2 linked regions of the Elephas maximus indicus genome follow. The protein of the gene in region 2 interacts with the protein of the main gene of each other region in a pairwise test. Links are inferred from orthologs where the notes say so. Each region holds a gene or a part of one and is shown on either strand. Other genes may lie near its edges.

Region 1 (3,744 bases), on a different chromosome or scaffold from region 2:
TGGGTTGCCTGGGTCTAAAGGCACTGCTGCTATGAGACATGCAGTCTCTAGCAGTGATGGGGGAATCTCCCCGGCATGGACTAGAGCTTGGGGCAGGGTGGGGGCCGTTGGATCCTCAGCAGAGGAGTAGGTGGTAGTTGCAGCTGAAGAAGTAGATTGTGTTGAGGAGAAGAGAATGGGACAGTGTGCTCCTCACCAGCATCAGTCTCACACTCGTGCATGCCTTTGGTCTGTATCCCATGGAATTCAGCTGTTGGGTGTGGATTTTTATGATCAGAGGCTCTGAGCTCTAATCCAGCTTTGTGACTTGCCAGGTGTACAACCCCAAGCAGTGAGTGCCATAACCTCTCTGAGCCTGCTTCCCTATCTGTATCACAGTATACTAATGCTTCATAAAGTAGGTGAGGGGTGATTGAGATGCTACTGGTGAACACTTTGTAAGCTACAAAGTGAATGTGTCAGCTGTCATTATCACTGACATGAGATGCAGCCACGCAAAAATGGAAATGCTCTTTGCTAAAAAAAGAAAAAGGAAAGTCACCCCACCTGGAGGCCCCCCATCTCCCGCGAGGTGCCCTGCAAAGAGCAGAGAGCTGGAGCAGAGATGAAAACCCAGTGACAAGAACCACAGAGAGGAAGGAGGTGGCGCCTGCTCACAGCCAGGGCACTGACACCTTCCCCTTTCTCTCTCCCAGGCCTTTGACTGAGTGAGAAGGGCAATCCCTGAGGGCTCTTTCTGGGCCTGGTGCCGAGCAGGGTGGGGGCCTCCGGAGAGCAGGGGTATGGGGAAGGGGACCAGGAGGCCTGGGCCTGAGAGTGGAGACCCCGGTCTTGTGGGCAGGAAGTGTGAGGTGCACAGCAGCTAGGAGCCTGGGGAGGCAGCTGAGCGGGAAGGGGTGTGTGTACTGGTGGTGAGGGGGGAGCGGAAGTCGGAAGCTCCAGCTGCCACACTCAGGGGGCGGACGGACTGTGCAGCAGGGGCCGCTCCTGGGGCGCCTAGGCTAGCTCACCCCTTCTTGGGCTATTCAGAGGTGAGCTTTGGGTGGGACCTGGGGGAAGCAGTCTTTGGAGGCCCATGTGTGGGCCCTCGTGGCAGAGGCTGGGGCGGGTGGGCAGGAATGTGATGAGGGCTGTGTGGGACGTGGTATATGCCCTGCTGCGTGCGTGCACACTAACCGTGAGCCTGGCCTTGTGCTAGAACCCCGGCCCTGCCCTTTCCTTTACTCTGTCCCCCTACCCCATTCTACTTCCCCTCCCAGTCTGGCCCTTTCTCAGATTTCCTGTTCTGGCCCCCCACTCACCTCAGTGGTCTGCCTTCCCATGTCTTCAGTTGTGAAGGGTAAAAGGCCTGCTGTGGGCCCTTGTGACCGCTGTGGTTTAGTACCTATGGGGTCTTTCATGGCCAGAGGCCCCAAGGGAGCCTTCACCCAGACCCTTGAGTCGAGGGAAGGAGGGAGGCCAGACTGGTCAGGGTTTGTGGGGAGCTGGTGGGCAGGTTGGGTGTCATAACTGTAGGAACAGGTTAGACTCAAACTCAGCCGTTATGGCTCTCCCAGCTTTACTTTGCCTTTTGGGCCCCACCCAGAGGCTTGGTTTAGTGGTAAGGAACGCTGCTTGCTGGCCTGCCGGGACAGCTCTGGTTTAAGCTTATCGTCCTGGTGTATTTATTAATAGTACCTATGCCACTCTCCAAAGTGTCCCTATTTATTATCCTATGGTGAAGGGAGCCAAGTAGAGGAAAGACCCCCGTCCACTGTCTCCAAACATCCCCTTACTCTTGGGCCTGAAATCCAAAATCCCCCAGTTGGAGTCACTCTGCTAAAATGCCAGGAAGGGGGGCCTGCCATCAGTGGATGGTAAGTGCTACCAGCACTGTGGTACCTTCACCAGGTTTAAAGGAATGAGCCCTAAGCAGGACTGTCTGCCCCACTTCCTGGGGCACCAGGACATCATATCACCCCTCTTCTGCAGATAAGGACTACACCCAGCACAGAGATTAAAACCTGGACTGCTGAACTCTCTGTGGCAGGAAGGTGAGAGGTCCAAGGAAGGGGTGAGGGAGGGTAGTGAGGATAGAGGGTGACCCCTCTTGATGGCCTTTGTCCTTCATGGTAGCAGCTGCTCTCGGTTGGCACCCAATCCTCCCATCCTCAGGGCCTGAGCCCAGGCCGGCCCCACACCACAGGGCCTCAGCACCACTGTCCTCTCTCTGCGCATTTTCATGAAGGTTCCTTCCGGTGTGGGCAGGATGTGGGGCCTTCCGTACTCATTTCTCTCACGGTGCTCTGGGCCCAGGTTCAGGCAGGGGTTTCTGCCCTGGGATTCCAGACTGGGGAAGGTTGGTCTACCTGTGGTTCCTGGCCTCAGGAGCTGACACACCTCACCCATCTCCTGCCCGGGCTCTGCGGGTACAGGGTGGCCACCACTTGTATCCCTTGATAGGCCAGGATCCTTCGCACTTTTTCCACAGGGAGGAAAAAATTTTAAGGGTAAAAGGAAGCAATGCTTGCTTGCTGAGTCTGGAAGCTTAAAGGGGATGTAGAGGAGAAAGAGAGACAGAAAGAGGCAGAGACAGAGATATAGGCACTCTGGAAGGAATGGTTGAGGGCAGCCCCTTGCGGAGCTGAGAGCTGAGGGCACCAATGGGCTGAGGCAGTGCTGAGGGATTTTTTTTTTTTTTTTTTATTATTGTACTTTAGATGAAGGTTTACAGGACAAACTTACTTATTCAACAGTTAGTACACATATTGTTTTACGACATTGGTTAACAACCCCACGACATGTCAACACTCTCCCTTCTTGACCTTGGGTTCCCTATTACCAGCTTTCTGTCCTCTCCTGCCTTCTAGTCCTTGCTCCTGAGCAGGTGTGCCCCTTTAGTCTGGGTTTGTTTTATGGGCCTGTCAAATCTTTGGCTGAAGGGTGAACCTCAGGAGTGACTTCATTACTGAGCTAAAAGGGTGTCCAGAGACCCTACTCTTGGGGTTTTTCCTGTCTCTGTCAGGCCAGTAAGTCTGGTCTTTTTTTGTAGGTTAGAATTTTGTTCTTCATTTTTCTCCAACTCTGTCTGAGACCTTCTATTGTGATCCCTGTCAGAGCAGTCAATGGTGGCAGCCTGGCACCATCTAGTTGTACTGGACTCAGACTGGTGGAGGCCATGGTACTTGTGGTCCATTAGTCCTTTGGACTAATCTTTCCCTTGTGTCTCTAGTTTTTTTCATTCTCCCTTGCTCCCGAAGGGGTGAGACCAGTGGAGTATCTTAAATGGCTGCTTACAGGCTTTTGAAGATCCCAGATGCTACTCACCGAAGTAGAACGTAGAATATTTTCTTTATAAGCTGTGTTATGCCAATTGAGCTAGATGTTCCCCGAGACCATGGTCCCCAGCCCTCAGCCCAGTAATTTGGTCCCTCAGGGAGTTTGGACGTATCTGCAGAGCTTCCATGACCCTGCCTTGTACAAGCTGTGCTGGCTTCCCCAGTATTGTGTACTGTCTTACCCTTCACCAAAGGTACCACTTACCTATTGTCTATCTAGTGTTTTTCCATCCCCATGCCTCCCCTCCCTGTGACCATCAAAGGTTGTTTCTTTTTGTGTGTAAACCTTTTCATGAGTTTTTATAGTAGTGGTTTCATACAATATTTGGCCTATGGCAATTGACTTATTTCACTCAGCATAATGCCCTCCAGGTTCATCCGTGCTATGAGATGCTTCGCAGATTCATCGCGTTGTTCTTTATCGTTG
Region 2 (3,744 bases):
TAGTACCATCATTTAACCATAAGGCTCAGACCAACAGCACTGGACCCAAGGGCCTGGCTGGTTATGACCTAAGGCAAACCTACCCCCCACCCCTCATCCGGCACACATTCCACAACCTCCCTCCCTGCCCTGTGACGACTACTGTCCTCAGGGGCACCAGCTCTACCCACAGCCACAGAGCCCACGGGACACACTGGTGAGACCCCTGGGCTGGGATTTGGAGCTCTGCCTCTTGGAAGCTCTATGTCCAGGACCAATGACACCACTTCCTTGAGCCTCAGTTCCTTTATCTCTAAAATGGGTCTGATGAGAAGAATCCCCTGCTCCGTCACTTCACAGGAGCAAATGAAATAATGGAAGCAAAAACACTTTGTAAACCATAAAGTGATAAAGGCAATACTTAGCATTCTTCCTCCTCCTCTATGCCAGGTGTGATTTCATTTAACCCCCACAAAAACATCCAACTCCGGTACTAGTGTTATTTGCAATTTACACATGAGGAAACTGGGGCTTAATAATGAGAGATAGGTGGGGATTTGAACCCAGATCAGTCTGGGCACAGAAGGCTCAGGACCAGCAGCACTCTGGGCTTACTAGGGAGGGCGGAGGCTCTCCTCTTCTCTCCTCTGCAGGTGACCACAGGCTTTGAGCCCCCAAAACCTGTTCCACTGTAGGATTAATCATGTGGAAGGTCCAGAGGACAGGCAGGGGGAAGGGGAGGGGAAGACAGAAACCACCAATTAGGTGTCAGGAGGGGGTGCTACCATCAGTAATCTTCTAACACCCTGGCTGGGAAAGAATTTTTATCCCAGTTTTACAGATGAGGAAACAGGGTTTATAAAGGATAAGTGACTCACCCAATCAGAGCAGGCAGGAGAGACTCTTTTCCACAGCAGCTCTCTCGTCCCTACTCCAGATTCAGAGGTGTGGCTAAGCTACCCTCCCTTGCCCAGGGCCCACAGCCCTCCTTACTTCATAACCACCTCCCTGGGGGCTGCCCCACCCACCCTCTCTCCCTCATCCCAGAAGAGAACCACAGAGTTCCCCCCGCTGGAACAGACCATCATTCTCAGAAGCAGTGGGCAACTCCCACCCCTGGTGGAATCCCACAAATATGTAAAGGGGATATTTTGGGAGCCAAGAAGTATAGAAGATGGTCCCTGCCTGGCCTGGCACTCCCACCAGCAGGCACCAGCCCAAGTTCCCGATGTCAGCCTCATCTCATATAGGAGGCGGCTACAGCTGGAACAACAGAGTGGGGCAAGAGGAGGGGCAGGGCGGACTCCCTAGGCCCAGACACGCTGGCACTCCTAGGAGAGGAAGCTCGGGCTCCCCTGGTGGGACCAGGGAAGGCAAAGATGGACCGTGTGTGTGTGTGTGTGTGTGTGTGTGTGGCTGTACTGCCTGCTGTTTCCTGGAGAGGGGAGAGGCCTTGGCCAAGATGACACAGAAGGAGGAGGAAAAAGAGGAGGAGGAGGAAGAGACCAGGTGAGGGAAGGAGTGTGCATGAGTCCTGGGCTTTAAGCTCCACATCTGCCAAGAAGGCCTCTGTGACCCCAGGGAAGCCACTCCACCTCTCTGGGCCTCCATTTCCTCTGGTGAAAAAGGAGGGATCTGGGCTGGGTTTCTCAGGCCTCAGGGGAAGGTGCCAGGTGACGGGTTGCAACCAGAGACAAGTGAGAGAGATGGGGCAAGGAGGCCGTATGAGGCCCCTCCCGGCCTCCCAGACACCCCTGGGAGGTGGCGGCGAGTCTGCCGTTTGCCTGGGCACCCCCGGGACTTCAGAAGCCCGAGGGCGAAGGTGCGAGAGAAAACAGGTTTCAAAAATAGCCAGGACGCCAACTTCACCACCTCAACCCGGCTAGTGGAGGGGAAAGGGGGTGTAGATCGCCCGGTGTGAGGGACCTACGTACAGAGACCCAGGCCGAGCCTCGCCCCAACCTCAAGCAGGTACCTGCAACCCCAGGCTCACACCTGGGTGGGTCTCTGGGAGCCCAGGAGTCAAGAGAGGATCTCGTGGGTCGGACTGGGGCAAGAGGCAAGTGTGCTGCCACCCCCGTTAACGTCAGTGGTGGCGCAGGGGTGCGAGGACCCAGGCATCTTCCCAAGCCCCTGCGCCCAGTCCCCTCCCCGGGCCACCGACAGCGAGCTCCCGCCTCCCCAAAGCTGTGCAGGACAGCTCAGGTTTCTTCTCCTGCCCTGCAACCCCGTCCCACTCCCTCCTGCACCTGGGCACCCGGACATGCGGCCTCGTCCCCCGATGTCTGTCCTTCCTGCCCAGCTGCACAGAGCGGGGGTGGGGGGCACAGCTTGACCCGGAGCGACCCCCCAGCCCCGCCGGGCCCCGGCACGGCCGCCCCAGCCGCGCGCCGGGCAGGACGCGGGTCAGGCCCCGCCTCTCCCCAACTTCTCCGAACTGCGGGCAACGCGGGAGGCCCATGAGCCCCGGCCCGTCCGCCCTGGCCCGACCCCTGCCTGGCCCCGGGGGACGCGTGCACACTCACTCCGGTGCCGGCCGCCGCCCCCCCAGCTCTGCTTGGCGAGGCTGGGGCTCCGGATCAGCGCCCGCCCCGCAGACTTGAGCGCGTCCATGGCCCGCTCCGACCGCCGCCGCCAAAACTCCGCCAGGAAAAACTTTCCGCCGGGGCCGGGCGGCGCGCGCTCCGCGCTCTCCCCTCCCCCGCGCGAGCTCCGCGGCGGCGTCCTGGGGGCGGGGCCAATGCCGCCAAGCCCCGCCCCGCCCCGCCCCGCCCCCGGCGGCGCTACCTCGCTCCGCCCTCCCTGCCCCCGGGGCTGGGCGCGCCGCGCTACCTGGCGTAGTGCGCCTTAAAAAGCCAGTAGCTGTTGCCAGCGAGTGGTTTTTAACTCTTAGCGACCGTGTTAATACAGAGCAGAACTGTCCGTAGGATTCCCAAGGAGCGGTTGGTGGATTTGCACCCCTAAAATAGCGAGCTGAAAGGAAGACGGCTCCCCCTTTCCCTCCTTCTCTCTAACCCCATTCCCCCCACCCCATTGGAACTGGCAGGTCCGAGGGCCACCGCCCCACCGCAGGACTCTCCCGTCGGGACGCCCGACCCTAGGATTTCCTAGACAGCCCAGTCGAAAGGTACTTGGAGACCACTTTGTGGATGGGAAGACTGAGGGCCACAGAGAAGGGCCCTGTTCAGGGACAGAGGGCGGCTTAGAAGCAGAGGGTGGAGGTTGTAGAACTTTGCTGGAAATGGGCGGGAGTATAAAAGTTTGCCTTAGCAAGGCCAGCTGGCACCTTACCCACATAACACTCGGGCTGCTCCCTGGCACCACCCGGGCACACTGTGCCCATCCCCCGCCCCCCCAGGAGGCCTCAGAAGGTGGTAGGGCCTGGGGTGTTATGTCTTAGCTTCTGACACTGACTTGTCCGGTGACTCGGGCAAGTCCTTGCCCTCTATGGGTCTTGTTCTTTATCTGTAACATAAGAGGGGACCCCATCACTATTGTTCCTTCCGACCTACCAAGCCACCCCGCCCCCACCCCCACCCCGTCCCTTTTTCTAGGAGGCCCCTGGAAGGGCCAAGGAGTCTCCATTCCGGAATTCCTTAAGCAGATGCCCTAACGCCAGGACTCTAGAACTGTGACTCTGTAGGATCCTGTGACTTCCTGTGAGACTGCCAAAAGGAGTCTAAAGGAGAGTATGTACATTCAGGCCCATGGTCTGGCCTCTTCTGGGTGGCAGTGCCTCAGCCAGGCGAGCCGGAGAGAGAAAAG

What was found. The genes of interacting proteins can lie anywhere in the genome.
Region 1: the proteins of LDLRAP1 (region 2) and PSD4 interact in binary tests that used the Homo sapiens proteins (3 or more experiments, as listed by UniProt). The two-hybrid records come from large-scale screens. The link is inferred for Elephas maximus indicus from reciprocal best matches to the Homo sapiens genes LDLRAP1 and PSD4.

What each region holds. Positions count from the first base shown.
Region 1 is NC_064835.1:42,477,911-42,481,654, forward strand, and holds the start of PSD4 (PH and SEC7 domain-containing protein 4), read left to right. Parts: upstream 1-954; 5' UTR 955-1,031; intron 1,032-3,744. UniProt on the Homo sapiens protein: Guanine nucleotide exchange factor for ARF6 and ARL14/ARF7. Through ARL14 activation, controls the movement of MHC class II-containing vesicles along the actin cytoskeleton in dendritic cells. Involved in membrane recycling.
Region 2 is NC_064821.1:66,002,882-66,006,625, reverse strand, and holds the start of LDLRAP1 (low density lipoprotein receptor adapter protein 1), read right to left. Parts: upstream 2,695-3,744; 5' UTR 2,593-2,694; coding exon 2,505-2,592; intron 1-2,504. UniProt on the Homo sapiens protein: Adapter protein (clathrin-associated sorting protein (CLASP)) required for efficient endocytosis of the LDL receptor (LDLR) in polarized cells such as hepatocytes and lymphocytes, but not in non-polarized cells (fibroblasts).